2 linked regions of the Arabidopsis thaliana genome follow. The protein of the gene in region 1 interacts with the protein of each later gene in a pairwise test. Each region holds a gene or a part of one and is shown on either strand. Other genes may lie near its edges. The genes, in order: DCAF1 and AT1G20540.

Region 1 (17,014 bases):
CTCTCCGAGCGGCATCTCTTCTTCTCTCTCTATTGAGCTCACAGGGAGTGAAGGAATTTGCAGATGGAAGTGAATCTTCTTTTCTCGAGCGGACGACGAAAACGAAAGGGTTTTTGACAGGGTTTAATTTTACTGATCTGTAGTTTATATCGGGCTTTTCTAATGGGCTTTATGATATGCTATACCTAGCCCATTTATGCCATCCCAAGCTCCAACCATTGGCTCTAAACATGTTAATTGGTTTTGACATAAAAGAGTCTTATGGTTTGTGATAGTAGTACTAGACTACTAGTAGCCACCCGAATTCAAGTGAATATTTACATATTCTTAGAAAGAAAAATGTTGATATAGTGTGTGATTTGAAGTGCTTTCTCATATCAATTATGTCAAATGTAAGAGATATAACCAAAAGATTATTTTTCACAGATACAGCTTATGAATCACAATGCATCAAGGTGCAGAGATGGGTTTCATAACATTCTAGCCAATCATTAAAAAAAAAAAAAACAACAGAAGAAACAAATTATTATTTTCCTAATCAAACAAGTAGAAAACAAATGAAAAACCCTTCTTATACCCAATACCAATAAAAGCATATCATTCTCTCAAGCATCAATCTTGAGATTCACATCCCTGGAGGAAGAGTTCCCATCGATGCTTCTGCTTTCAACTTCATCAAAATGGTCTTCACGGGCGTTATCAGCGAGCATCAGAGCAACCAACCAGAAAAGGCACGAGTCCAAAGACACAAAGGCACCTCCACCAAGCAGACCGGTCTTAGCCGTGGGGCAACTGGTTTCTAAGTTTCGGTGAACATTACGGGTCAAGTGAAGTTGTTCTGTAATGGTTGGCCAGAGCAACAGAGACAAGGCCAGTCCAGATGTTATCCTACACGACAATAACCATAGGTCACAAAAAGACTCCTATTTTTAGGCTTTATAATACCGGAATCCAAGAATATTTGTAATGGTCTAGCTACTGTGTTCTTGAAAAGAAGAGGAAATGCTTACAAGGCAATGTTGAAGAACACAGAGAAGCTGGTGCTTTTGAACAAGACAGAGTTAGGAACAGACTTTCCCTTGTAAGAGATGAACAAGGATTTGTATCCTGCTACAGTGCAGGCAAGGAGAAAAGCAGCAGAAAGGTATCCCAAGGCAACAGTTGGATCAGATGGGTATTTGCAGATAACTACTCCTTTTCCACTTATTGGAGTCCCAGACGCAGGCTAAGATGAAAACACAAAGAACAGAAACAAATCACACAATCAGTAACACATAAGAATAAGAAAGCCGAAGTGGTTTACCCACTTATGAAAAGCTCTTGACATACGGTATCCTAGAGAGATCAGTGACAATGATGAGGTCAAACAATTGTGTAGAAAGAGTAAGATTTAGCTACGGGTCAGTTAAGATCACATTGGTTTCCCATCATTAGATACAATTATGAAGCTGTGAGAAGATCACATTTTTTCATACAATCCAACAATATCACAATATCAGAGTCATAGTCCTGTGACTAAAACAAATTTGACATCCTCCATTCACAGAGAATAGCACAAATAACAACCAAAGCATCCTAAAGAAACAGGAAATCAAAACAATTGATTCATCCATAGTTAGATCACTGTTTGATACATACAATTCCAGAGTGATTATTTCCTGTGCAAAAAAAAAACTAACTTGCGCCAAAAAGCAACAGGAATTGTTTATGTGGTAGTAGTAGATAAACACAAAGAAGAAGAACAAAAATCATCATCGAAAACAAACAGGAAATTTAAAGTTTTCTCACGAAATAATCAAAAGGAGACGACTTTTTTTTGTACCTTCTTGTTCTCGGCGATAACTCCCAAAACAAAGGATAAGACGCCCAAAGCAGAGACGACCAACGACATTTGTTTCATACTAACCGCCATATTTGTTGTATCTTCTTCTCCGTCTAACCTTAACCTATATAATATATCCGAGAGCACACAGATATCAAATTCGATTTCCCCCAAAACATAAATCAGATTTGAAAATCGAATCAACGAACAGAGTCGGAAAAATCGAACTGTAAAAGAAAAACACTCACCGAGACGACGAATGAATCTGGAGATTTGTGGCTTCAGAGAGATAAGAGAAATCGGAAGATATGGTTAGTTAGGTTGCTTAGTTTTGATTTTGGTTTAATTCGATCCACTTGCACTGATAATTCGGGGATGAGCCCTAAAAAGTCTCCGAGTGTTGTTGTTGTTTTGGGCTCTTCAAGATTCTGTTGACCAAAAAATAAAAGATTCCATATTTATCTTCTTCCACATGTATTCATCATCTTATTTTTCTTTATAAAAAAATCTACGTAATAGAGATTTTCAACTGATTTACTTCCTCATATTATTTTTTATTCTGAATATAGATATTACTATAATTTACAAAATAAAAATATATCTTGATCGTATAATTATTTGGTATAAAATATTATCTTCCCACGTAGGTATATAATTTACCAAAAATAAGTTTAAGATGGATTTACCAAGAATCCAATATTATTACTTGCGATACTTTATATGGGAAGTAGAATAATTGGATATGATATTGGAATTTCTTTTTGGAAAGTACATATTGAAAATGTTCATTATCGTATGAAGCAGAACTTAAAGACTGGCTGGGATAGTTAGTACTTTTGAGAAATGGGATTATCGAATCTTTGAAGATAATCTGATGTTGTATGTTCCAAAGAGTCTGTCGAGTTTTGTATGCGGAAGCTTTCACTGTTGTAACACTTTGCAACACTTGTTCTTTATAAAATGGTAACACTTATGGGGATATTTAAAAAAACAAAGATAGCAACATGTTTAGCTTTTATAAAAATGTATTATTTGAACGATACCAGGGAATCAGGATGCTAGATGCATTATCCGGTCGGTGAACGATCGTGACACCCAAGCAACAAATATACAAGACCAAAATTGGCCACGCTCTCTCCTCTACCCCTCCAGCTTTACTTGTCCTTATCACTTCCCTTTATCATCTGAATTAATTTCATCTCATTGATGCTTCTCTATGTATAATGATCCAACACAAATAAATCAATCAAATCAAACCAACCGATCACTTTCTCTTTTTCACTCATAATCATTCCAAGCATGATTTTAAAATGGGCTTTTGTTGTCTCTCATAAAAGGTGATAGCTATTCGCCTCTTCCACTTTCTTCTTAGATTGTTGTAGTATAAGTTTAAACCTACGACTACGAGTGGATAAAATGGTTTTGGTTTGACTTATTAGGTTTAATCGAGTACGACAAGTGGACTTGTGACACTTGTCCAACCGATACTTCTTATCTTGTGTTTTTGTGTTTTCTCGTCTTCTAGATCACGTTTTGGCATATTGAATTTATTATATAAGAATAAGATTCGATTGTTGAATTTTTAATAAGTATGGCTTTGTTATATTACACGTAAGAATTGAAAACATTACTTGATCAAAGAAATAAAAGATTTTATGTGTGGTGACTGATAATGTTGTTGAGGAAGATCAGAGTCATTAATGCAGACTCAGTGACCAGTGGACAATCTTGTATAAAGAAAGACATTACAGAGTTATATTCAAAAACGTGGAAAAGTATGCATTACCTTCTTGAGATGGAAATCTTAACAAAAACAAGCTTTTAAAATTGAGTGCATGTCCAAGTCATTTTTAGATTTGGTGTTTAGTGCTTCAATATTTCACAATATCCAAAAAACTCATAAAAAGATTTCAGAGATAGACCAAGAAAAGTTATTTGAGTCTCTAAGAAGGGATTGACCATTATTCTTAATTATACTATTTGATGTTTCAACTCACTTCCAATATGAAAGTCTTAAACATAATCATATTATAGATATTAACCTGTGAATAAAATGCCAATCATCCAACTCTCAAAAATATAAATGGGCCGAGAATGGGCTCACACAGTAAGGGAGAGTAACGAGAGAGGCTTGAAGGAGAATAAATGTTACTTCACCAACCGGACCTGCCGACCTCTTTCATTCTCTGTTTGACTCACTATTCCTTCACACAAAAAAGGGAACATTTAAGTTTTTTTACATTTTCATTCAACTTTAATTCTGAGAGCATCAGGTAACACTGCTCCACAATCTTTCAAAGATTCCTCCTTTTTTTGTTGTTCTCTCTTTTTATTTGGCTTACACGTCCGCTTGACCTCACCCACATGCCCCTGCCTCACATCAAACCATCTTTATTTCGTAATAGCTAAATCTTAGACAGGCAAAATCTATCAAATTTTAGAAAGTACTATTCAAAATTAATACTCTCTCATGTTACTACCATACTTGCTGATTATAATAACTGTAAACTATAACAAAGATGGTAAACCCAAATCTATATTTATGATTGATTAATTATTTTAAAGTATATATTGATGATTTTTTCTTTATAAATTATCATGATTGCCGTATCGTATAATTAATAGATTTGAGTGGTATTGTGAAGAGCTACTACAGCTAAGGAAGTAGACAACACCTAACGTAGTAAATTAAAACATTAACGTTTCTCTTTTAGTCCCTTTTTTTTTGTTAATCGTTTTCATAATATTCTGCTAATTAAATTTCGATTGGGGGTACCAATCAAAAAGCAAACACCGCCTTTCAGGTCACTGGGACAGACAATAAAAAAACCTTTTTCGTTTATGTTCCATGTCTGAAATTAAAACATTTTCAAGTCTCGTGTATTTCAGATTCTCCATCTTAGTTCTTGTAACCTCTCCCTCTTCTTCTCCAAATTCCACCTGAGAGAAGAGAACTTATTCCACCCAAAAAGCAATAATATATAGTACCGTACTTTGATTTTTTCGATAATCTGTTGATTGAAGTTAAGCCAAAACTCAGCTCTGTTCTTATTCTTCTTCAAACCCAAGTTTCCCACTTCACTGATTCTTTCATCTTAGCTCGTTTTAACCACAAAGTTCAGTTCTTTTTTGGTGTGTTTCTTTTTCGTTATTGGCTTTTGCCTTTTTTGGGTATAGGGTGTTTACGATTTATCTCTCGGTTCCGATGTTGTTCAAAGGTGTTTTTGCTGTCTTTTTCGTAATCACTTTGTTGTACGCAAGTTTGTTAATTGAAGTTGAAGGGATTGGTGTGAACTGGGGCTCACAGGCGAGGCATCCCCTACCTCCGGCTACGGTGGTGAGGCTTCTCCGAGAAAACGGTATCCAAAAGGTGAAACTTTTCGAGGCCGACTCTGCGATTCTCAAAGCTTTAAGTCGGACAGGGATTCAAGTTATGGTCGGAATCCCTAACGACTTGCTTGCTCCTTTAGCCGGTAGCGTTGCAGCCGCTGAGAGATGGGTCTCTCAGAATGTATCTGCTCATGTCTCCTCTAATGGCGTCGATATCAGGTTTGTGCTTATATCTCATTGAAACAACATGTTCTCTTTGTTTGTTTTGATCAAGAGCTTTGGAAGAAATGATTTTAGAACCCAAAGTTCCAGTCTTTAGATTTTGATCTAAAGCAAAGAGATTGAAGTTAGTTGGTTTGTGTTTGAATTTAGGTATGTGGCAGTTGGGAATGAGCCTTTTCTAAAAGCATTCAATGGAACATTTGAGGGTATAACTCTACCTGCTCTTCAGAATATACAATCAGCTATCATCAAAGCTGGTTTAGCGACTCAGGTGAAAGTCACAGTGCCTCTTAACGCAGATGTGTACCAAAGTGCGTCTAATCTCCCTTCGGATGGAGATTTCAGGCCTGAAATCCGTGATCTCATGTTGAACATTGTTAAGTTTCTGAGTGATAACGGAGCACCATTCACTATCAACATTTACCCTTTCATCAGTCTCTACAACGACCCGAATTTCCCTGTGGAGTTTGCTTTCTTTGATGGAACTGGTACTCCGATAAACGACAATGGAAGAATCTACGACAATGTTCTTGATGCAAACTACGATACACTTGTGTGGTCGTTGCAGAAGAATGGGTTTGGGAATTTGACTATTATTGTTGGGGAAGTTGGGTGGCCAACAGATGGAGATAAGAACGCAAACTTGATGTATGCCAGGCGGTATAATCAAGGTTTTATGAACCGTCAAAAGGCTAATAAAGGAACACCTATGAGACCTGGGGCAATGGATGCTTACTTGTTTGGTCTTATCGATGAAGATGCCAAAAGCATTCAGCCTGGAAACTTTGAAAGACACTGGGGGATATTTTATATTGATGGACAGCCTAAGTATCAGCTCAGTCTTGGCAGTGGTAACGGGCTGATCCCTGCAAAGGATGTTCATTATTTGGCTAAGAAATGGTGTATTCTTGCGCCAAATGCTAATCTTCAGGATCCTCAGTTGGGACCAAGCGTGAGCTACGCTTGTGATCATGCTGATTGCACCAGTCTTGGTTATGGCTCCTCTTGTGGTAACCTGAATCTAGCACAGAATGTTTCGTATGCGTTCAATAGCTATTACCAGGTAAGTAATCAGCTCGACAGTGCGTGTAAGTTCCCGGGTCTCTCTATAGTCAGTACTAGGGATCCTTCTGTTGGGAGTTGCAAATTCAAGATAATGATCAAGTCAGAAGATGCTAGTGAAGCAAGTGCCATGATGCCTATAACACGATCAACGGCAGTGCTGCTACTTCTCTCCATCTGTCTGTATATTGTTCTGTGAATACTGAAGAAAATTTGATGGGTTTGATTATTTCTTTTTTTCCTTTTTTCTTTTGCAAAACTTTTGGTGTTTATGGAGAAACAGAAACTACAGTGAGATTTATGTATTACTTGGTTTGATCTCTTATTTCTCGAGAGCAGTTTGGTGTTCACTGTCTCTCTTATACCTCTCTTGTTAGTAATCAGAAAATGATAAAAATCTCATCTTTCACTTTAGCTGTTAAAGCCCAACCCGAAGTTTCAAACATTACACCTTATATTAGTTAAGCAGGTTTGCTGCAAAAGAGGAATCCATGAGGCTTCACTGCTGTGAATCTGTCCACCATTAACAGTCTCTTAAGATTGAGAAACGATTGTGCTGTCTTAGAGCATGAGAAACGAGTTACAGCTGAACCAAAAGAAATACCAAACCCAAAGCTATAGAATTGTTTGTCGAGAACCCCAAAATCTCCCAATATACAGTGCCCAAACAACCAAATTACCAGTTGCCTAGCCTTTCTATTTACACTTGTTTAAGGTATGTATGGAAAGGAAATTCCAATGTATCGGATATAACATGATTACCTTGGTTAGCTTGCAATCTTCAAGTCAGTGAGATAAATGAAGGAGATAATTGGGGCGGATCTTCAGTGCCTGAATCTGTCCATTTAACAATCTTTGGTAAAGACTTTGGAGAGTTTCTATGTAATGTGGAATAGTGTTCTTGGTTGCTTGAGGGATTAAGGTTCAGTCTGGTAGACAAAAAAGGAAGCAAAGAGACATGTGAGCCAGTACGAAAAAATATGACAATGGTTAGAAATGGCGGAGAAAACATCAGAAGTTACCTGATCCGGTGGTCGCACTGCCAGTTCTTTAAAAGACTCAGTTTGATGCTTCTGGAGATATGCTCTTGATCTAATATCTGCCTGCATATAGTAAACTGTATACTTAACGACTCTTACTTTTCACTTTTCACATATCTACAGGATAACTTTCTGTTTGTTGGTAAATGCATCACTTACCTGTCTAATAGGTTCTGGAACACGGTACTTGCAGGTTATCTTGACAACTTCAACGGCAGAGTCCAGTGATATGCGATGGCCAACCGATACATATATGGGCTTTAGAGAACTCAGAGTTGGCCTAAATCCCTGTTGAACGTAATATGTAAAACTTGATCATTAAATTCACTATCTTACACAAGATTATCAAAACCACAACTATGGAGAAGTTTCGTTGCTAAAACTGATAAGTCACTACTAATATAACGCGGTATTACCAAAGAGACACAACAACTACAGTAGATGTTCAGTCAAAGTCACTTACTACTCCCCATGTAATTCCAGAGTTTCCTACCAAAGTGATAGTTTGCTCATGCTCGTTTATTTGGAGCTGAAGCGACTGTTTAACCTCAGATTGATTCAGACCATCCACATGATGCAGCTGAAAATGTTACAACATCATAAATTCCACATTAACGATCAGATGGAAAATGCAAGGCAAAACAAAAATAACATCACAAATTTCAGAGCTTGAGATTCTGAAGACCGTACATTCTTTCCGACCCCAATGGTTGGTAGGTGAGCAAGAACACCTAAATGACACGCCAAGCCAAATCCTATAGAAGACAATTACATCTAACACCATAATTACAGAGCTTGAAATGCAACTACAAAACAAAGGTAAAGTTGTGTGTTTATACCTCGTGGATGAAGTATTCCATTTCCATCCACCATCAGTACCTTTGCAAGAGCAAAGCAAGAGACTTTTAGAAGAAAAAAAATCAACGCAAAAGCAATGGTTTAAGAGTAGCCAATTGCAAACTAAAGCAACTTATAGATAAAACTGAAACCTGAGGATAGAATGGATGCTTCTCATCTCTCATCTTCTGCAGAATCTGCAAAAGAACCGGAGCCTGTAACATGAAAAATCCAATTTTGGGATCTGAGATACTTTAGTGAAGCAAATGAATTTAGCAGAGCATTGCTCGGGGACACGAAGTAGTAGGAGAAGGAAACCTCACGAAAGGCAAGAAATCCAGGGACATAAGGAACATGGAGGCGGAGAAGAGAGAAGTCATGGTGGACTACACGGAGAGAAGGAAGCTCAAGAACGACGAGACAAGCGCATGCGACGGAAGAATCTTCTTTGCAAAAGCTCATGTCTACACCTCCAACATACTTAAGTATCTCCGATCCCTGAGACAGTTCCGTTGATGAAGATAACTTCCATGTGAAGTCATCGTACGCGATCAGTTTCTTCTTCAGCTCATCCTGCTCTCTGAAAGAAGTCAAACAAATCATCAACCGATTTGATTGTGCGGAATGAAACTGAAATCAAATGTGAAACTACTCTGTCCACTTCTCGAGCTGATCTCCAGAAGAAGAAGACTCGCTTGAAGCTCCTTCACTATCCATTTCCAGAAAAAGTTCAGTCGCCGGAGAGGAAGTTCCTAATCGGAACAATTGAAAACGACGTCGTAGTTATTGACAGTAAAACTATGGGCCTTTAAAAGGCCCATTATTAAAAAAAACTATGGGTTAGGGTTTGTTTAGTGAAAGAAACGGGTCGGGTCATATTTTAGTATGAGTCGGTTCAGCTTTGTCGTCTCCATCTACCACCCTCCTTGTTCTGCTGCGTTTCTTACTCTACAACTATAAGCTCTTTTTTCGTTTTCCCTTTCAATAATTTCTTTTTCTTTTTCCGTGATCCCAACGTTTGAATTGATCGCCGTTTCTGGGTTTTTCTTTTAAAAGAGAGGTATTCATCATGGACGGGCAAGAGCATGCCGAGGTCCCTAATTCGATGGTTGAGGATGACCAATCAGTTGTTGCGGCGGAGGCGATTGCAGAGTTGGCGAATTCAACCGGCGAACCTAATCCTGAAGAAGGAGAAGAACAGAGTGTTGAAGACGAGCTTATAGCGAAGGCGCAGAAGCTTATGGAAGATATTACTTCCGTTGCCAATAACCCTAATCCTAATATCCTTCACGCTCTTAGTCAGCTTCTCGAATCTCAGGAGTCTCTGTATGTTCCTTTCTAGCTCAACAATCAGTCTCTCTTCTTGATTTTCTTTTGTAGTTGTCTTTAGTTTTGACGCTTACTTGTATTCGCAGGTTCTTAGAGGAGAATGGGCATTTCTCCAATGCTCGTGGTAGTCATAACAGTGGCAAGCTGTGTATTCTCATCCGAGTAAGTTTATTTAAAAAAAGATTGTTCTTTTTTCTCTTGTGTGGGTTCTTTCTTCTTATTTTGTTACTTGATTTTTGGCAGGAAAACGATGAGTTTTTTGAATTGATATCGTCGACTTTTCTATCTGAGAATTCTTACTCAACCGCAGTAAAGGCAGCCTCTGCAAGGTTGCTAATGAACTGTTCGCTTACGTGGATGGTAAATTTTTTACTACTTTCTTTCTCTTTACCCTTAATTGGATGTCTTGTTTGTTGACTCATGACGCAATTTTTCTTTTTTTTCAGTATCCTCATGTTTTCGACGATGCTGTAACGGAAAACTTTAAAAATTGGGTTATGGAAGAGGCAGTCAAGTTTCCTGGTGAAGACTCTGCCAAGAAGGAAGCCTCAGATTTTGAAATGTTAAAAACTTATTCTACAGGACTTCTTGCTCTCTCTCTGGCGAGGTATTGATTAAACATTCTCAACTTGTTGTCTCTTCTTCCCATTTTTGCAACGCCCACAGCTGAAATTGTAACATTTTCTTTTTGTGTGACTCATGTAAGTCGTGGGCAAATAGTTGAAGACGTTTTGACATCAGGACTATCTGCTAAGCTTATGCATTATCTTCGAGTACGAGTTCTTAAAGAGCCAAGCACAAGCCGTATACACACAACTGAGACTAAGCACGTCTCCTTAAAAACCAAAGAAGAAGGTCGAAGTAGGGTGCGTAAGATTGTGGATACAGTTGAAGGTGACCATGTTCTTGAGACGGACTCCGGAAGAGAGATGGGACAAACTGATGTACAGCCTGATGGCGAATTCGAAATCGATGGCAGAGATGTATTTAATGTTTCAGGTGTTGTTGATTGTAAAATTAAACCTGGAGATGACAATAGTGTTAGAGATGACCCTTCAAGACACAGACTGAACCGATCAAAATCAAGGGGGAGAGGAAGGGTTCACGAAGGTGCACCTGATACAGAAGTTCTCTTGGCATCTCCTAGATTAGGTCGTCTACTTGTCAGAGATAGGGATCTATCAAAAATTTCAGATGGCAGAAATGCAGAAGACGTGACCGTATGTCTTGGGAAAATGAAGTCTGGTATTATGGAGATAGAAAGAGAGGATAACGATGAGTGCTTTCAAGGTTGCATAATAGGAACTAAAAACATAACTGATCTAGTAAAGAGAGCCGTTGGAGCTGCTGAAACCGAAGCTAGAGCTGCCCATGCTCCTGATGACGCAGCTAAAGCAGCTGGCGATGCTGCTGCAGAGCTTGTTAAAACTGCTGCTTTGGAGGTATGTTTTTCTTTTTTTGCTTAGCTGTTAGTGATTTCATTTCCCTAATGAAACGGTGGATTAGGGTGACCTGATATTTATATTGATTGTCTTTTCTTTTAAATTATCCAGGAATTCAAGTCTTCTGGCAGTGAAGAAGCTGCTGTGTCTGCTGCTACTCGAGCAGCTATTACAGTCATAGATGCCGCAGAGGTTTCAAGGTTGGTCATGCTATGATGTCGTGGATATTATCGTTGCTGTTTATCAATTATTTATCTCTGAGTTGTTTAGGGCTTTAACTCTGCTATTTGGTTGGTGGCAGAAATCCTACTTGTGTCACATCTGATCAGACAACGGATGTTAGTGAAGTTTCCCTTCCAGATATCGAATCATTGGCTCAGTTACAAGAAAAATATTGCATCCAGTGCCTTGAGATACTGGGAGAATATGTTGAGGTTCTCGGGCCTGTACTCCATGAAAAAGGTGTTGATGTATGCATTGTGCTGCTGGAACGTACATCCCAGTTAGATGATCGTTCGACAGTGTCTCCTTTGTTACCTGATGTCATGAAGTTAATTTGCGCTTTGGCTGCGCACCGGAAGTTTGCAGCAATGTTTGTTGAACGGCGTGGCATACTAAAATTACTTGCTGTTCCAAGGGTCTCTGAGACTTTTTATGGTCTCTCATCTTGCTTATACACCATTGGCTCTCTTCAGGTAATAATACAGCAAATTTGCATGACTTTAACACAATTTTGGTTCACCGTCAATCGTTGACTTAGTACAAATCCTGCTTCTTCTTACCTTCAATTTTTTTTTTCTCAGGGTATAATGGAGCGTGTCTGTGCACTTCCATTGGTTGTCATACATCAAGTTGTTAAATTAGCTATCGAACTTCTCGACTGTTCCCAGGATCAAGCCAGAAAAAATTCAGCTTTATTCTTTGCTGCTGCTTTTGTCTTCAGAGCCATTTTAGATGCATTTGATGCTCAGGATAGTTTGCAGAAACTCCTTGCAATTCTTAAAGATGCAGCCTCAGTTAGAACTGGTGCTAATACTGACCGATCAGCTCCTGAAGTCATGACGTCCTCAGAGAAGCAGATGGCTTTTCACACCTGTTTTGCTTTACGCCAGTATTTTAGAGCTCATCTCCTTTTGCTTGTTGATTCAATCCGTCCTAGCAGAATTAGCCGGGGTGGTGTGCCATCTTCAATGAAGCCTAATATAAGGGCAGCCTATAAGCCCCTTGACATCAGCAATGAAGCTGTTGATGCCATCTTCCTTCAGTTACAGAAGGATAGGAGGTTGGGTCCGACCTTTGTGAAAGCTCAGTGGCCTGCTGTCAATAATTTTTTGGCCTCCTCTGGACATGTTACCATGTTGGAACTTTGTCAGGTAATGTAGCATTTTACTCCACATGTACATTGTTTTGTCTACCATCTTTTAACATTATGTTCACATGCGCAGACTCCACCAGTAGATCGTTATCTGCATGATCTTCTTCAGTATGCTTTTGGGGTTCTTCACATAGTTACATCAATACCTGATGGCCGCAAAGCAATTGCACATGCCACACTCAGCAACAATCGTGCTGGCATTGCTGTCATTCTGGATGCAGCAAATATTTCCAACAGCATAGTAGACCCTGAGGTCAGTAGTCCGCTTCTATCCATTATTCACATGGGTTTTGTCTTTCTTCTTCTGCTTCTCATTGATACTTACCTCCTTCATGTTTTCTTTATTGAAGATCATCCAGCCTGCACTAAATGTCCTAATCAATCTGGTGTGCCCACCACCATCATTAAGCAATAAGCCGCCCCTTGCACAAAATCATCAACCTGTTCCTGGCCAAGCCACTACCCGTCCCTCTACTGATGTTGCTGTAGGTACTCAGTCCACTGGTAATGCTCCGCAAACTCCTGTTGCACCAGCATCTTCAGGTTTGGTTGGGGATCGGAGAATTTTCTTAGGAGCAGGAACTGGTTCTGCTGGCCTTGCTGCTAAGTTGGAGCAGGTTTATCGTCAAGCCCGTGAAGCTGTTCGTGGGAATGATGGTATAAAAATTCTTTTAAAACTTCTTCAGCCCAGAATATATGTAAATCCTCCTGCTACCCCAGATTGTCTACGAGCGCTAGCTTGCAGGGTACTTCTTGGTCTGGCTAGAGATGATACAATTGCACAAATACTGACTAAACTTGAGGTAGAATAGCAATTTTCTTTCCCCGTTTATATATTGTGAAGTTGAGCAGGCATCGTTGGTGATATATATTGACTTCCCAAGCATTATTCTAGGTTGGTAAGAGTTTATCAGAACTAATTCGGGATTCAGGTGGTCAGTCAAGTGGCACAGATCAGGGGAGATGGCAGGCTGAACTTGCTCAGGTGGCGCTTGAGCTAATAGGGGTAATCATCTGAAATTGATTTAATTTTCTTGTTTAATGTGTTTATATGGGGTTCTTTTTGTATGCTTCATTAGTGATAAGTGTTTTTTTCATTCTTTGTTTTTCTGTTGAAGTTTTGCGGATATTTTTAATTGTGTTTTATATGTGTTTGTAGATTGTGACAAATTCAGGGCATGCAACTACACTAACAGCCAGTGATGCTGCTACTCCAACACTGAGGCGCATTGAAAGAGCTGCCATTGCAGCAGCAACGCCTATAACTTATGATTCTAAGGAGCTTTTACTGCTTATCCATGAGCATCTCCAGGCATCAGGTCTTGGTGATACAGCTTCAGCACTGTTAAAAGAGGCTCAATTAACTCCTCTACCTTCATCGGCTTCCCCTTCTTCTATTGCATATTCCACTACACAGGAGATGTCTACGCCGCTAGCTCAGGAACAATGGCCCTCTGGCCGTGCTAACAGTGGATTTTTCACCAGCAAACCCAAGGTCTGTGCACATGACGAAGATCCAAATTCTAGATCTAATGCAGCTCTATCTGCCAAGAAGAAGCATTTGGCTTCCTCGACACTGGAGATGCCCACACCAGTAGCACAGCAACAATGGCCATCAGGCCGTGCTAACTGTGGTTTTTGTCCCAGCATACCCAAAATCAATGCACGTGATGAAGATCCTAGTTCGAGAGGTAACGCAGCTCCATCTGCAAAGAAGAAACAGTTGACTTTCTCACCCAGTTTTAGTTCGCAGTCAAGAAAACAATCTTTCTCCCATGACGCTCTACCTCAGTCTACACAGAGAATAAATTGTTGTTCGAATTCAGATCCTGCTTTGGCAGATACATCAGAAACTGCTGCAGAATTAGTTTTGAAGAACGACCTTGATGCCGATGCTCAATTTAAGACCCCGATTTCCTTTCCAAGAAAACGGAAGTTGTCTGAGCTTAGAGACTCGTCAGTTCCGGGTAAAAGAATCGATTTGGGTGAGCGAAGGAATTCAACCTTTGCGGATGGCTCAGGTTTGCAAACACCAGCTTCAGCTTTAGATGCCAACCAATCTGGGAGTTCCAGACTGGGCCAAATGACACCTGCTTCTCAGCTACGGCTTCCAAGTGATCCCCAGCCTTCAAATCCAGAACGGTTATCACTAGACTCCCTTGTGGTTCAGTATCTAAAGCACCAACACAGGCAGTGTCTGGCTCCAATCACAACTCTTCCCCCTGTGTCTCTCCTACATCCACATGTCTGTCCTGAACCTAAACGGTTACTTGAAGCTCCACTAAACATGACTGGCCGTCTTGGGACCCGTGAGCTTCAAAGTTTCTACAGTGGAGTCCATGGGAATCGCAGGGATCGTCAGTTTGTTTTCAGCAGATTCAAATCTTGGAGATCTTTCCGGGATGAGACTGCTCTCTTTACATGCATTGCACTTCTTGGCGGTACTAATCATATAGCAGTCGGTAGTCATGCTGGAGAAATCAAGATATTTGAAGCTAGCAGCGGTAGCATGCTTGAGAGTGTCTCAGGTCACCAGGCTCCGGTTACACTTGTTCAGCCGTATGTCTCTCGTGATACTCAGTTGTTACTTTCTTCGAGCTCCAGTGATGTACAGTTGTGGGACGCGTCTTCTATAACTGGTGGGCCTAGACACTCCTTTGATGGATGCAAGGCTGCAAAATTCAGCAACTCTGGGCTACAATTTGCAGCGCTTTCTTGTGAAGCATCTAGAAAAGATGTTCTTCTATATGACGTACAGACCTGCAGCCCTTGCCAAAAACTCACTGACACAGTCACATCCTCTCGAAGTAATCCCTATTCTCTTGTGCACTTCAGCCCTTGCGATACACTGATTTTGTGGAATGGTGTTCTCTGGGACCGCCGTATCCCCGAGAAGGTCAGACGGTTTGATCAATTTACTGATTATGGCGGAGGTGGGTTTCATCCTTCTAGGAACGAGGTAATGGATAAATCATATTACTTTTTAATCTAAATTATGTGATAATACCAAAGCTATGAAATTGTCATTCCTATTCTAGTTGACCAAACCCTAGAACAATCCACTCCCTTAAACAGTCGAAGACAGCTTTATAAAAGTCCCTCACTAACTGCTCCAGAACCATTTCACAACAACTTCAGATATTCTACATTAACTCCTCGGCTACAATATAGATAAAAAGTTACTCACTGTTTCTTGGCTTTTCAACATGTTACTTATTACAGGTGATCATAAACTCAGAGATCTGGGACATGAGGACTTTCAAACTTCTTCGGAGTGTACCATCACTGGACCAGACAGCTATTACGTTCAACTCTAGGGGAGATGTTATATACGCAATGCTGAGGAGAAACATCGAGGACGTTATGTCAGCGGTTCACACACGCCGTGTGAAACATCCCTTGTTTGCTGCTTTCCGCACTCTTGATGCGATCAACTACTCAGACATTGCCACTATACCTGTAGACCGGTGTCTTCTTGACTTTGCCACAGAACCAACAGATTCGTTCCTTGGGCTGATCACAATGGAAGACCAAGAAGATATGTTTTCCTCGGCCAGGATGTATGAGATTGGTAGAAGGAGACCAACAGATGATGACTCGGATCCCGATGATGATGATGAGACGGAAGATGAAGATGAAGATGATGAAGAAGAAGATGACCTGGACCGAATTCTGGGACTAGCTGGAGACAATAGCGATAGTGGGGATGATGACCTTAGCAGCGAGGACAATGAAGATAGTGTGAGCGATTTTGATGAAGAAGCAGATATTCTCATTGACGGTGACTTTATGGAGGAGCTTATAGAAGGTGAAAATGAAGACGATGGTAATGGTGAGGATGAGGATGATGATGACGACGGTGAGATGCAGGATTTCATGAGCAGTGGGGAAGAGGATGATTATAGAGACAACATTCGTTCTTCCTAAGTTTTTTTTTGTTTTATAAATTTTATTTACTTCTGGGCTCTCTACAGATCACTAAGATGGATTTTTACTATCCAAAATTTTGATGATAAGTTCTTGTATTATTTTTTCTTTGTTCAAGTTCCATGTCTCTTTGATTATCAGTAATCATGATTTCTCTTGTCCCACATCATAAGAGAATCCATTGATGCACAGAATTTAGAAGAGACCATGGTGATGAAGATAATGAACGTAGAGTTCTGAAAGGAGAAAAGTATGCATCATCAAATTCAAGGAAAACTAAACCAAACACTTGAGACAATCACCGTACATCTAATTTTTTCGTTGTTCTTTCTTAATACAAAAATCTAGAAAATCAGTAGTCTAAAATGGTTGGGTTACTTCTCCTATCTTGAGAAAAGAGATACAATCGGATATATATATATAGATAGATAGATACACACACAAACTTACATATATCTAAAGCCCTTCTTGCTTTCTCTCTCTCTCTCTCTGTTTTTTTCTTTTATGTTCTCTTCTTTGTTCATTCCTCTTCTTCTCCTCTCTCTTTCTTCACAACAGATTAGTCGACTGTCATTGGTTGCGTCATGCAACATCTGAAACGGGCTTTTCTCACATTCGTCATTATCTC
Region 2 (14,584 bases), on another chromosome or scaffold:
CTGCATCGTAAAGATAGAAGAAAATGACCCTATGCTCGGTTTTCTCTCGAGCCAAGGAACACATACGAGTGAGAACAGAGACTCAACCATAGTCACAACGGCTCTTCTCACTTCTTTCAAAACCTCAGCAACAAACAGAAGGTTCTGCTCTATGCTCTGCATCTCCATCATCCCTCTCCCTCCTCCTTCAATACTCTTTAGACTATTTAAACACTTGAGCGTTTCCTTCTTGAGCTTGTTCCTATACCGATTATACGCTGCAACCTTTTCACTAAGGTTTGATCCATTACAGCGCAGAGTCAGTTGAAGATCTTGCAGGCCATGTCTCACGAGTGCCATGACATCTTTCGACACATTACAGACATCTAACATTATTAGTGAAGCTTCAGAGACTTGCTCGATCCAGTTCTCTTTCCCTTGTTGGCACAGAGACTCTCTTGCTTCTGGACAGTGATCGAGAAGATAGTTTGCGCAGTCTTGTAGTTCTCTCAAACCTTCCAAGTCCAGTAGCGCCATTCGGTTGAAACCTCAAAAGGGTATTGCTTGATGAGAACTTGATGAGAGATTTGTGATTAGGGTTTAGTGAAATCTTAGGGTTACGTCCATAAATAGGGATTGTTTGAATTGGAGTTGAAGATGGATCTGAGAAGAATGAGGAAAGTACGAAGAAGGAACCCTGAGGTTAGTTTTTTCCTTTTCTTTGCGAGGTGTTTTTTTTTTGTACATAAGTGAAGACATTAGTGTTGGAGACAGGTCATTTAGTTTTCAAATTCAAACTAGTTGAAGTTAGTGGTATTTAGGAACCTTCCGTTTATGTAAGTGGCACTAGATTAGGCTACATTATGGATTTGCTTCGATATTATTGTCTACATAACAAAACAAAATACAATTTTAATTTAAATTATAATCGGATACCTTTATCAGAAACCATGCATGAACCAAGCCAGCCAGTGTTTGTAATTATCTGAATAAAACGGAAGAATTATTTATTTATATCTGAAATGTTCCAGAATTTTGTTTTTGTATTGTTGGTTTAATAGTTTGTCGAATTCATCACCTTTTAAACACTAAACACAGAGTCATGTTCATGATTGGAATGTACTATCTTATTATTAAAGATCACTAACGGCGTATACATATAGATTATAGATATATGTCGAATGTACATAATCAAAATTTTCAATTTAGCAAAATTCAAAACTCTTCCAAGGACACATAGAATAAATGATAGATAGCAGAACTGATGAGAACTAAAACAAAGCCGTACATTACGTGCACATCAAGTCAAGTTCCTCATAAGTCTGCTTTGAGTTTGTAGCTAATTTCTCCATCGATTTGAATATCTGTTCCATGTTAGACTTCAGATTTAAACTCCCCATTAATGCAACAGATGGTACTGTCTTCATCTTCCTCTGCATCTTCTGCTCTTCCTTCTCTAACATCATAAGCTTCCTTTCTATATCCTTTACGCTGCCATTAACATTCCTCTGCTCTTCCAATTCCATCCTCTGTTTCTCCACCTGATGGTTTACGTGCATCAAAATCGTGTAAACCGCTTCTGTAAACTCCTTCTCTCCGTGTGATATCTCAAGGTTTTGTGACCAAGTGTTAATAGCACCAAACAATGGTGGCTCTTCTGAGAGATCTGGTGTTGGTTCTTGAGGTTCCTGTTTTAAACATCGCATTAGCCAATTGTTCAAGGCTTTAACATACTGAGCCTGAGCATCTATCCAGTTCGACATGCTTAGACTCCAGTTCCTCAACTCCAGTTTCAATTCCATAGCAAGCTCAAGCTGAGATAAGTCTAGATTCTCCTTTATTGTCATCTTATCAAGCTTCTTAGCCTCTGCAATTACTTTAGATTGTCTACTGTGACATTCTAGCATAGAGTTCCACATCTCAGACAACCTAAATATTGAGACACAACAAGCTGAGTTAACTCATGAGATTTCTCAAACAAAATTCTTATGGTAATGTCCGTAGTACCTGTGGATCAACTCTTTCATTTGGAACCAGAGCTCTTCATCGCGTAACTTGTTTATCGTCAGACAAATGTTGTTTATCTTATGGATAGAAACTCTCATTCTTGTAGACAAACACTGAATCGAAGAACGAATAGCTTCGATTTTGCTTAGATCTGCACTTTTTGCTTCCAATCTCCTCAATAGTTTGTAGTTCTTCATGTGAGATGTTCGGAGTTTCTCCTCAGCCTGTAAATAACAAATCAAAAGTCTTAAGGAACATAAAACACTTAGATAATTTTGCTTCAATCCATTCAGAGCATTTTGATTATACCTTTACTTCTTGGTACAGTTTCTTCTCCCACATGAAAAGTTTCTTCAGAGTAGATGAAAGATTATTGAAATTAGATTCTTCCACTGGTTTGGGATCAAATGGAGTCATCACCTTCTTCGTGTAGAGAATGTTTGAAGAAGGAAGAAGAATTCGAACATTACATTGATAAACAGAGCTTTTCTGGTAGTATCTGAATCTGGAAGTGTCAAACATCTTCGAAACATCATTCCCTGATTCTGAAGCTTTCTTGAACATTTCCTGCAATTGCTTTGTTACTTCAGATAAATCTGATGAAACTTTTTGATCCTTTGATTCTTTAGGAGCACGCTTCCTATTTTTCTCTGAGATTCTCAGAGTTTTTTTCTCTTCTTCTACTTTAATCTTCTCATCGTTTTGGCTCACAGTAATCTTCTTCTTCTTCAACTTATCTTCTTCATGAGAAGGAGTGGTCTCTCTATCCTTCAAATCATTGACATCCGTAGTGTACGGAAGCTCATAGCTCTCGAAGAAATTGATAAAATCCCAAGCGTAATTACTCGGAGCCGGCGGTGGAGGAGGCGGCGTTATGGTGCCGGATTCGTATCTCCGGGAGTAGAACGAGTCATGATTAAGATTTAGAGATTCAGGTTTTGAACCGCTTAAGAGATCGCAATTCGTACCTTCACCTTCCTCACAATCCGAATCGAACTTGGGAGGCAAATCGGAATCAGAACTGGTAACCGAGTGAGCCGAGGAACAGGATTCCGGAGAATACGTCTCCGGTGATTCGTCAGCTTCGGATTCAACATCCGGCGGAGACTCGACGGCATGTTGGAAGAATCTATGGAGAGCTGGACCGACGGTGTTCAGAGAAAGGAGATAAGCTGAGTGAGCGTCGGCTAAGGCGTAGCTTCGCCGGAGCGTATCTTCGAGTGAGCTGCAGCGGTCACGGCATAGAGATACGGCCGGTAAACCGTCGAGCTTGGAGGGGGAGCAACCCATAACGGTCGTTGGAGAGTTAGTGTTTTTTCAAAAGCTTGGATTTGTTGTCATATAAAAGTGATTACGTGATTAAGGTTAAGGTATCATTAAAAACTTAAAAATGATCACTTAATTTCACATTTTACCAAATTTAAAACAGTAAAAGCGCAATTACATTTCAAAAGGAAAAATTCATAGAGTACTGACAACTTCCACATATGAATAAATGATTATGATTCGAATAAGAGAGCCGTTTCTTTTTTTTTTTTAGGAAGGGACATGCAACCAAACTTCAATTTGGAAACTAGCTAGTAATCATAGTACTATAAACGTTGCAATTATCTATTTTTTTCTATTCACGATTAACATTGCATTTTTTTTTTTTTTGAAACGTTTGCATTGATTTATCGTCGTTAGAAATCATAAAAATGAAGTTTGCAAGGAACCATGCAATTATTCTACTCTGTGAATCATTGAAGCATAGAAAGTGGAAAAAGACGTGGTGTTAAAAAGTTAAAGCTAAAAAGTGAAAAGTTAAAATAAAAAAGGTTTGAGATTCAAAGTAACGTAAAGTGTTAAAAACAAATTTATAACGAAATCATGCTCTAAAAGTACATGCACATGTTGTAGGTACCAAACTCATATTTTAATCCCCTTTTTTCAGAACTCAAAACTCACGATTAGCTTCAAACACAAGTAAAATGAAGTTTTGTCAATAACTCGAGATATAAATCCATACATTACCACACTGATCATATCTCATATCTTCCTACTTCTCACTATGTTATAGAATGAATATGTTGTTTTCTCTTTAATTTGTACTATTCTAGCAAATAATATCCAGAGATAGAAAACATATTAGTTTTATAGTTTACTCCCATGCCTATATATTATACCAACAAAGCCATCTCCACCCATACAGAAAATATCAGTTTCTACTTTCAACATTATATTGCAATTTTAATGAAGATATACACAAAATATAATTTTTAATCAGTAGTATGTTCTAGTTGTAGCAAGTTACTGATCACCATGAATACATTTTCCACAAAACCCTACTAAAAACATGATTTTGTTTCATATAACTACCATGAAATTCTTGTCTACAATTACCATGATAATTATCAATATAAATACATTTTCAGATAGAGATGTGCATGAACGAGCGTCTTCACACGTCTTAACTTAAAAATCCTCAACTTTAAGAGTGAGAGTTGGAACTTTTTGGGTTTGCGGCTTTTGAGAAGATAAGACGAAAAAAGCGAAAACTTCCATATATAAAGAATACACGAGGATCTTTAATTAGTTCCTAATAGAAGAAAAATTTATCAATGTTTTTGGGTGAAACAAAAAAGAAAGGAATGTTTCTTTTTTGGGGATGGTGGAGATCCACCTTCTCATATTTTGTCTTCTTATCACTACTTTTGTAACCTTTCTTATCATAGGATATTCCCACGCGTATTAAAATCAGTTCAACTAAACATTATTTCCTTCAAGAATATACCCATATTAACAAAACCACGATAAGTTTAGAGTCTTACATGAACGCGAACAGACACATTGAAGTTTCGACAAAATCAATAGAAAAAGTCACTTATCGTTCAACCTTTCTAAGAGAAATGGTTAATAATCTCGTAGTTAGGAGTTTTCTTATATTTATACTCTGTTTTACATTACATTGTTAACCAACTTATTGTAGATTATATAAGAGTTTAACTAATAGTCGTTGTTTTCTGGCTGTGCGCGGTTGTGGAGATTTTTAATATGCTATTGTCAGTTTTTTTCATATTTCTTTACGTTGGTTGACAAACATTTCCTAGTCGTCAATTCTAATGTTACTTGCATTGCATGGCTTCGCAAAAATACTCAAAAAACACATCATTGTTAAGTAACGGTCATAAAATCATGAAAGCATCACGTACTATCTGTGGCTTTACTAAGACGTCGTTAACAAACGTAATGATAACATTCTTTTTTCTGGTGATTGATTCATGATTTTATGCCTTTTTTTTGGGTGATCAAACAACGTTGTAACTATGACCGGGCCTAATAGACATCTATGGGACTCTAATTCCATTGACCCGTTTTGTAACATATATACTAGAGTGAGTAGTGATAATTTATAGAAATTTGATATGTATATGTCTCTGAGTAGTTAGTGAAATTGTAACATAAGAGATTGGGCCTGACTTTATTAAGTTAGGCCCATTAATGTCTATCACTAACACGAAAACCAGCATCTGCTTCAGCTCGTCGTCTTCTCTACCTGAATCAGTGCGTCTGGCTCAGGTGACAATGCAAGGAGGATCATCGGGTATTGGATACGGTTTGAAGTATCAGGTGATTCATCATCTTCATATTTTCCTTAATTTTCCTTAGGAAGATTCTTTAAAGACGGAATTCATTTTGTTTCAGTCTAGATGTATATCGGATGTGAAAGCCGATACGGATTACACAAGCTTTCTCACTGGAACTCTTAGTTTAAAAGAAGAAAATGAGGTGAACCCATGTCTTGATTTTGATTTCGTCTTCTATTTTAGTCGGGAAGATACTGAAAGTTTTCGTTTTTTGTTCTCCACCATTTGAGATGCTTTTAAGGTTCATCTTCTTCGTTTGTCATCTGGTGGATCTGAGCTTATATGTGAGGGTTTGTTCTCTCATCCTAATGAGATTTGGGACCTTGCTTCTTGCCCTTTTGATCAACGCATTTTCTCCACCGTCTTCTCCACTGGTAAATTCGCTTGTCTTGAGTTGATTAGCAAGAATTTGGAGCTCTGGTCTTTGTATTGATTTATAGCGTGAGTGTGTCAAAAACTGATAATGGTTTTATCCGTTAAGGTGAATCGTTTGGAGCAGCGATATGGCAAATTCCTGAGTTATATGGTCAACTGAATTCTCCACAATTGGAGCGTGTTGCTTCTCTTGATGCTCATGTTGGTAAGATTAATTGGTGAGTTTATGATCAAACGTTTTCAGCGTTCTATTGCTAACAGTTATGTAAAAGTGTTTAAGAGCTTATTTTTTTCTTATCCTCAATCATCTTATGAAGCTGACTCTCAATTTTTCTCTCTGGTGGAAACAGTGTTCTTTGGTGGCCTTCTGGAAGATGTGACAAGTTAATCAGCATTGATGAACAAAATATTTTCTTGTGGAGCTTAGACTGTTCGAAAAAGTCTGCTGAGGTGATTTAGCTACTAGAATATAGTGACAACCTCATTTTTTTTTTATCTCTCAAGTATTTAGATCTTTTGTAGGGTATTTCGGTTAAACAGGTTTGGATTTATATAGGTTCTATCTAAGGATTCAGCTGGGATGTTGCATTCTTTATCTGGTGGAGCATGGGATCCACATGATGTAAATGCTGTTGCAGCAACGGGTGAATCATCTGTTCAGTTCTGGGACTTGCGTACTATGAAGTATGGTATCACTGTTGCTATCCTCTGTTGCTGCATGCAGTTAGGAGGTTTTACGCATTGATTTTATTCACACACGTTATAACATGCTCTGATGGGGGTTTTCAATTTTCAAATTAGTGTTAGTTGCTTGTGGTTTTACCTCGTCACATGACTTTCTCCATGTTTTTTCCCCAACAAAGGAAGGTTAACTCAATTGAACATGCTCATGTACGCGGTGTTGATTACAATCCCAAGAGAGAACATATACTTGTAAGACTCCTCTCTTGTAACTCCAAAGCACTGCGCAGTACCCTATTGAATAGAATGGTGTGCAGATAAATATGCTGTGCATATCCGTTCAGGTCGTTTTCTACATCAGCATTGAGCTGAACTGAATTGTTATGGAGCTCAACCTTTGATTTAAAAATATTATCATAACTTTGCTGTGATGGATCAAACATTCGATTATGTAGGTAACTGCAGAGGATGAATCTGGCATACATGTCTGGGATCTCCGGAAGGCCAAGGTTCCTGTCCAAGAGCTTCCTGGTCATACACATTGGTATGTTTGCTTCTGTTTCCCTTTGTAAACCTTTTTTTAAAGGAACCAAGAACTTGATCCTTGAATTTGTGCCTTTGTATGTTTTTTTGTCAAATTTTACAGGACTTGGGCTGTCAGGTGTAACCCTGAGTATGATGGACTGATTCTGGTACTCTACTCTCTTTCTCCTTTGTTCTTCTGAACACAATCAAAACGTTCCACTTGGTAGCTATGTATGTCAGTCGCAGTTGTTTTAGCTGAAATGTGCAGTTTTATTTTCGGTACATCCTATGGTTTAGCTTAGAAAAACTAAAGCCTCTGCTTTTAATTTGCACGCTTATAATTTGTGTCAATTCTGAATCATTCAAGTAAAATACAGAGCGCTGGAACAGATTCGGTTGTCAACCTGTGGTATGCTTCAGCAACATCCAGTGATGACAAAACCTCAGAAAGGTTATTTCAAATCTCCTAAACATCCTTGCACCGATGATTTTCATTTTTTGCCAACACTGTTGTGATTTCATTGTTACCATCTTTTTCAGTCCTGTGGAATCCACACGACAGCGTGTGAACCCGTTGCTCAACTCATACACTGACTATGAAGACAGTGTCTATGGTAAAATCCCTTACACCTTATGATTACCATTCTATCTTGTGAACCGAACAAATACTTAATACTGTTTAATTAACAACACAGGCCTTGCTTGGAGTTCACGTGAGCCTTGGGTTTTTGCATCATTATCATATGACGGAAGAGTAAGTAAACTTTCTCTACCCCATATACTCAGCACAAGATCAACCTAAACTTCATTTAAAGAGCTTCGGGGTCATTAATCTTGCTTGTATATAAATGTTAGGTCATCATCGAATCCGTCAAGCCTTTCCTTCCAAGAATATAGTAAAAACCCAGCATCTCTTTTGCTCTGACCCAGACACGACCCATCTTTTGGTAAAGTTGGCACTATTGTATTTGAAACAATGTACTTTTGACACAATCTTTGTGGATCCTGATGTATCTATCTATCATTCACCAAGATTCTATCGGTATCAATATTCAGTTGCTTTGACCTAAACAGACTCAACGACTAAGTAAGAAAATAAACTGAAAATTCCTTCGGATTGGATTTCTATGTACAGATAACATTGATGAGGTATATGACCACAATAAAAAAAAAGCTGACTTTGAACTGAATCAATCTGATAGCATTTCTTCTAGCTCAGGCTCTTCTGAAACCGATAACGCATCATCATAATCTAACCTCGTACCATTATACAAGCCTCTGTCCTGTAAATCAGTTTGGTCTTCCTCATAATCTGTCTCTGACGACGACAACTCTGCATCTTCATCTTCTTTCTGCTCTTTCTTCCCGAATTTTCTCGAATCCATCTTTCCCGCTTTTACTTTAGCATCAGTATCTTCGCATATACAAGCCGCTGGATTCTCATGAAACTCACCTTTTCCGGCTCTTACCTCCTTTGGTTCTCCCATGAATCCTTTCTGAAATGTTCTCACTCTTGAAGCAAACTCCTCCCAAGTAGTATTCTCTTTGCTCATAAACAACTTGTATAGCTTTTTCGCATTCGGTCTAATTGTTGGTTTATGTCCAAAGTATCTCCTACATAAAACCAAGAAATCATTCAACACAAAGAGCTAACAACCTTAAAAACAGAAATGAAGCAGAAAGAAGAAAGATTAGCTATGGTTAATTTAACTACCTTCGACCTGCTAATATTCTCGCCATGTTTCCGTTATTGTTGGTAACGAAAACATCGCTTTCGTCACACACAAGGAAATCGAGTGCAGCCATTCGTGAAGAATAAGAAGAAAATGGTTTTAACTCCATTTTTGTAGCTATGGTGTCTTTTGAATAGAAATGTGGAAAAAGTGCTTTCAAAGGAGCCAATGATTTTTCTCCTCCATAAACTTCACCTGATGCAACATATATATGAACATCACTTCCATATCCCAAAGCTCTAAGCATTAATCCAACTTCTTCTGGTGTAAGTGGACATCTTCCTTGTCTCCTTTGCTTTTCAGGGTTATTTACCTGCAATGCAAAATTCGTTAAATCCAACAAGAAAATAAGAAGAACTTTGCACAAGTAAGATTTGTATACATACATGCAAAGTTTTCCATCTCCTTCTGATTGTTCCTAACTCTTTCTTCTCCTTCTCACCACCACCATAGTAACATCCAGAGAAGGCGAGCATATCAGGTTCAAACCTAAGATGTAAAGCAATGAAGTGTTTGCTCCTTTTCCGCATTCTTCTGACCAATTCGTTACCCATTTCAAGAATTGGATCAGTAAACTTAAGCGCATGATAGTTTACTCTACACCTCAGCTTCTGCAAATCATCTCTCAACTTGTTTGAGAGTCTGTAATCAAATTTATTCAATTGAACTGCCTGAAACAAAGAGTTACAAGACCAAATCATATATAAGCATCATAGAGAAAGAGGAAATAATGAAACCTTTAGATGCTAAGAAGCGTAAAGATTGAGAGACAAAAACAGGAAAACTTACATGCCTTTTCTGAAGAACAGGTAACACCCGATTGATATAGCATTTCTCATTGCATTTTCTCGGTACACGCATTCTGCGAGGGCTCCATGTTTGCCCTCCTTTCTGTGGAAGTTTCTCAATGATTTTGACATCTTTTGAGAGAAATGACATAAACCAATCAACATCGAAAATGTTCGAGAAGTCACTGGCATATATAAAAAGCACAAAAGTATGTTAATACTAAATAAGATGCATAATGTTTTGATTTTTACGAGAGCTAGTACGAACCTGGCATCTTTCCAGTAGGATTTCTGGTCCAACTTCGGAATAACAAGCGTAGCGTTTAGAATCCTTGCAGCAACAACAGCATCTACAATCTGAAAGAAGTAATTGCGTTGTGAAACTCAGACCAAGATCTAAGTAACAACAAAAAGATCACCATAAAACCAGAGAAACCTAAAGGAACTTACACCAGTCCGTTGTTGGTTTAAACCGCCACTAGTGGCAATCGCCAAGTATCGATCATTTCTAGTAATTGCTTTAGCATCTGCAGTAAGAAAAATCAAAATGTTGTAGTGTGACTAATAAACCTCAATGACAGAAACATTCAAGCATTCTAAACTAAAACACTCTAAACACCAAAAGAACTTTATAAAGTTACACACTTGGGAACTTGCTGCTTGCATTACAACAACCATAAAAGAATTCAGCATTCCATGAACGCCAGATATCACGATCCGATCTTCCTCCACCTCTCTGCTTCGGTTTAAAACATACACAAACCCAAATTAGCAAACAAATACAGACTTTGCAACAAAAATATCAAATATAAGAACCCTAACCGGAACTGTGAAAACCACTGGTGTGTTCTTCTTCTCATCATTGGCTCCATAGTTAATATGCTTCTGCAATCAAACAAAAACAATGGCGTTAAGAGACAGAGATCAGAATCTCATCAACAAGGCTATTGAGAGAGAGAAAGAGAGTGTACGGAGATGCGGCGATCGGAATCATCAGGAGGAGGGGAAAGAATGGAGAGAAGAGCGAAGAGGATGAGAAGAGCTCCAGAGACAGCGCAAATGAAAGGAAGAAGACGACGGAGACGGTTGTAGTAATTGTTGCGCCGCCGTTGAAAAGCCATTGAAGGCTATACACGCGGCGCTTTTACCTTCGTCTCTACGCCAGACAGAGAGAGAGAGATTCGTGTTCCAATGGAGACAAAACCAAAAGTCTTTCTCTTTAAGAGTACACACTGGTTTCAAGAGATTCAAAATGAAAGTATTGTCTGTTCTGTTTTTTATTTGTGATTCTTCTCTGGTTTTCACGACATTTCCATCACCACAATAATCATTGTTGATTCTCTATCTTTTGCTTCAATCAAAGATTGAATTTTTATATACTTGAGATACAGAAACAGAGAAAGATTGAATTTTTTAATATTGTAAAAGGAAAGTGAATATTGTTTTTTGGTTTTGAGACAGTTCTTATAGATTTCTGGGCTCTGAAAGAAATGAGGCACCGCCTCCAGCACTTCGTTGTTCTAACAGCTTTATTTTATTTTTAATTATTACTCCTTAATTAATCAAATTAATTGTTTTTACTTTGGTGATAAACTATGAGCTGGATTTTAAGAGTTTTGCAAGATGAAAGTTATTCTATTTCTTGCTCTATTTCGTTTTAATTGTTAAATTTCCTGTTTTTTTTGCTTAATTTTATTCTTATCTAGACATTATTAAGAGATAAGTTTAGCATTTTGTGAACACTAACTAAATTTTGACAGTAGAGCAAGTTGCAAGCTATGTGTTTATTCTGAAATGAAATCACTTTAGAACCATTACTGTCTAAATTTCCATAATGGTGTAAATATTACTCTTTGGCTTTACATTTGTATCATCCCTATTTTTTTCATCTTTATATTAGTAAAAAGAAGAATATTTTCAAATTACTTTTTGTCTACTTCAGTGTTTAACTTTTTGCTAAAGAGTGTAAGTGAACAATAGCGTGAACTGAGAAAGAAAGTATAACTCTTTTGTCTGTCTTTTATACAAGTTTCTGTTTGCTTGGTGTTGTCACAATCGATGAACATAAATGTTGTGAGCCGGTTTGAGGAATTTTGGATTCGTATTCCTCCTAACCAAAATCAGAAAATAATCAACGGTTTGAGGTCATCTACCTATAGTTTAAACGAGTCATGGTCCGGTTTAGTCATTAAGCACTCGTATTGATTGAGAAAAAAAGATAATTCACACGCAAATTTGATTAGTAGATTTTTAAGTTTATCTTTACGCTTTCACGGAACTATTACAAATGATTATCTCTTGTTACTTACAAGTTTCACCATGTGAACCTTAGTTGTTTCAAGTGTCATTCATCAACCATATACTGTAGATTGAAGGCTTATTATAGTAAGTGCACTCATTTCGTTGCAATGTTAACATCTACTTTTCTTAAATACTATACAACGTAATTTGTTAGACTGTTAGGTACAACAAATTTATTTAGTGATTATTTATAAGTTCTGTAATTACAAATTTATAAATATGAAATACTTTTCGATTCATTATAAACATCAATTAATGTTGCATTCAAAATTGAAAATATCAATTAACCATTGATAATGATCATGTAGAAAAATCAAACTAAAGAGCAAATTAAATTATGATTATGAAGGGTTATAAAAAACATACAGATTGAAATTTAACCAACCTTTAACCGACCCCTAATGAATCGTTTTATATGTTGTACCATGTCATGTCATGTATGTGTTGAACAATACACGACTTTCTAACAACAATAGTAATACTTATTTAGTTTTCTTAAAATAATCGAAATCTAATAAACAAATTGCAGTAAATAACAGCAAAAATATAGATAATTAAGAGACACAATCCAAAGATTGATTCCCTTAAGATAATAATATATCCACTTGCCATCAGATTCAACTCTAATCAGAATGCTATAGATCTAATCTTCCGGAATTACAATTTCATCCCGGTTTTATTTATTTCAGAAACATACAAATTGGTTTTAGTATCTCATTCTGGTTTAGCTTAGACACAAACATGATCTTATAGACAGTAATTTATAAGACATCTTGTAGAGATTGGAAGTAACAAAGAAAGCTTACCAATTCATAACTTGCTTCTGCCTTTCTTTGATAAGCTTACCAAAGCCTTAGCCTTGGTCCTCAGAACAAACTTCTGGACTTTTCCAGTCGATGTTTTAGGAAGATCCTCAAACACAATACTCCTCGGAGCCATATAATGTGGAAGCCGGTCCCTGCAATAGCTAATAAGCTCCTCCGCACTGGCCTTAGACCCGTCTTTAAGTTTCACAAATGCACAAGCAGTCTCACCCCAATACTCATCAGGCCTCGCAACTACAGCTGCTTCAAGAACACAAGGGTGAGTGAACAGAGTAGACTCGACTTCAATCGAGCTAATGTTTTCTCCTCCAGAGATTATAATGTCTTTCGATCTGTCTTTCAGCTCTATGTATCCGTCAGGGTGTTTAACACCTAAGTCGCCACTCCAAAACCAACCTCCTTTAAAAGCTTCCTTGGTTGCTTCAGGGTTCTTTAAGTAACCATTCATCACCGTGTTTCCTCTGAAGACAACTTCACCCATAGTCACACCATCAGCTGGCAAAGTTCTCATGGTTACAGGGTCTTTAACTTGTATTTCCTCGAGCCCTAAATGATTCACGCCTTGTCGAGCTTTCATTTTCGCCTGTTCTTCTCTAGGCAAAGAGTCCCACTCAGGCTTCCATGTACAGATTGTGCCTGGTCCATAAGTTTCAGTTAACCCATAGGAATGAAACATAGAAAACCCCAACTCTTCCATCTTGAAAATCACATGAGCTGGTGGCGGTGCAGCACCGGTTATAAAAGACACCTTCCCGGGAAGCGGTTTCTGCTCAGATTCAGGCGCATTGATGATCATATTCAATATCGTCGGCGCACCTCCCATATGAGTCACCTTATGCTGGGAAATATTATCAAATATAGCCTTGGCCGTAACATTCCTCAAACATATATTAGTCCCACCAATAGCAGTAACACCCCACAATAAGCACCAGCCATTGCAGTGAAACATGGGATTAGTCCATAGATAAGTAGGCGAGGAGTGCATTTCGTTGAGTAAAACCGCAGCCAGAGAATTCAAATAAGCACCTCTGTGACTATAAACAACACCTTTGGGGCTTGAAGTGGTACCTGATGTGTAATTAACAGATATAGCATCACACTCATCTGTTGGTCGTATAACCTCGAAGTCCGATTTCCCCATCGCTACAACATCTTCGTATTCCATCATTTCCTCAGATCTCTTCTTCCTTGAAACAGATTGAGTAAGAGGCTCTGGGATCAAGACCAAAATCGGGACCTTGTCACCTTTATTTGAGAGGATTTCACAAGCTCCTTCAGCTATTTGGAGAAACTGATGATCTGCAAAAATCACTTTTGTCCCTGAATGTCTAAGCAAGACAGCAACAAGTGATGAATCATGACGAATGTTGAGTGTACAGAGCAAAGCTCCAGCCATAGGAACACCAAAATGCAATTCAACCATAGCTGGAACGTTTGGAGCCAACACTGAAACCTTGAGAATCAGAAAACGCAACAAACTAAGTTTCGATCTATGAACAGAAAAGATCTCCAAATAGCATGGAATCAACTAATTAAACTAGCTAAGAAGGGAAAAAGGGAGAAATCGATGAACGAGAAGTTCTGACCACATCTCCGGTAGAGATTCCGAGCTGGGAGAGAGCGGAGGCGATTCTGACGCAGCGGTCACGAGTCTGGCGCCACGTGTACTTGACGGAGCCATAAACGATGGAGACTCTGTCAGCGTAGACGACAGCAGATCTATCGAGGAAGCTGATCGGAGTGAG

The links.
Region 2: the proteins of DCAF1 (region 1) and AT1G20540 interact in a two-hybrid assay, tested with the Arabidopsis thaliana proteins (one study listed by BioGRID).

What each region holds. Positions count from the first base shown.
Region 1 is NC_003075.7:15,136,554-15,153,567, forward strand, and holds DCAF1 (DDB1-CUL4 associated factor 1), read left to right. Parts: upstream 1-9,074; 5' UTR 9,075-9,382; coding exon 9,383-9,639; intron 9,640-9,728; coding exon 9,729-9,804; intron 9,805-9,885; coding exon 9,886-10,002; intron 10,003-10,088; coding exon 10,089-10,249; intron 10,250-10,348; coding exon 10,349-11,084; intron 11,085-11,195; coding exon 11,196-11,284; intron 11,285-11,385; coding exon 11,386-11,779; intron 11,780-11,887; coding exon 11,888-12,457; intron 12,458-12,529; coding exon 12,530-12,712; intron 12,713-12,809; coding exon 12,810-13,262; intron 13,263-13,354; coding exon 13,355-13,465; intron 13,466-13,618; coding exon 13,619-15,418; intron 15,419-15,681; coding exon 15,682-16,386; 3' UTR 16,387-16,559; downstream 16,560-17,014. Other genes in the region: SKB1 (SHK1 binding protein 1), read right to left, coding at 1-15; AT4G31130 (keratin-associated protein (DUF1218)), read right to left, coding at 606-888, 1,011-1,225, 1,823-1,912; AT4G31140 (O-Glycosyl hydrolases family 17 protein), read left to right, coding at 5,028-5,371, 5,525-6,635; AT4G31150 (endonuclease V family protein), read right to left, coding at 7,354-7,365, 7,459-7,539, 7,636-7,764, 7,940-8,056, 8,167-8,231, 8,316-8,355, 8,466-8,528, 8,632-8,893 and 1 more; AT4G31170 (Protein kinase superfamily protein), read right to left, coding at 16,946-17,014. UniProt on the Arabidopsis thaliana protein: Component of the CUL4-RBX1-DDB1-DCAF1 E3 ubiquitin-protein ligase complex, DCAF1 may function as the substrate recognition module within this complex.
Region 2 is NC_003070.9:7,107,102-7,121,685, forward strand, and holds AT1G20540 (Transducin/WD40 repeat-like superfamily protein), read left to right. Parts: upstream 1-5,509; 5' UTR 5,510-5,550; coding exon 5,551-5,595; intron 5,596-5,670; coding exon 5,671-5,754; intron 5,755-5,853; coding exon 5,854-5,986; intron 5,987-6,093; coding exon 6,094-6,205; intron 6,206-6,337; coding exon 6,338-6,437; intron 6,438-6,543; coding exon 6,544-6,671; intron 6,672-6,850; coding exon 6,851-6,920; intron 6,921-7,123; coding exon 7,124-7,212; intron 7,213-7,314; coding exon 7,315-7,360; intron 7,361-7,570; coding exon 7,571-7,644; intron 7,645-7,733; coding exon 7,734-7,807; intron 7,808-7,888; coding exon 7,889-7,947; intron 7,948-8,048; coding exon 8,049-8,090; 3' UTR 8,091-8,261; downstream 8,262-14,584. Other genes in the region: AT1G20520 (DUF241 domain protein, putative (DUF241)), read right to left, coding at 1-516; AT1G20530 (girdin (DUF630 and DUF632)), read right to left, coding at 1,269-1,908, 1,987-2,210, 2,296-3,276; AT1G20550 (O-fucosyltransferase family protein), read right to left, coding at 8,384-8,807, 8,908-9,239, 9,313-9,597, 9,716-9,899, 9,983-10,071, 10,165-10,241, 10,360-10,450, 10,537-10,599 and 1 more; AAE1 (acyl activating enzyme 1), read right to left, coding at 12,826-14,292, 14,426-14,584.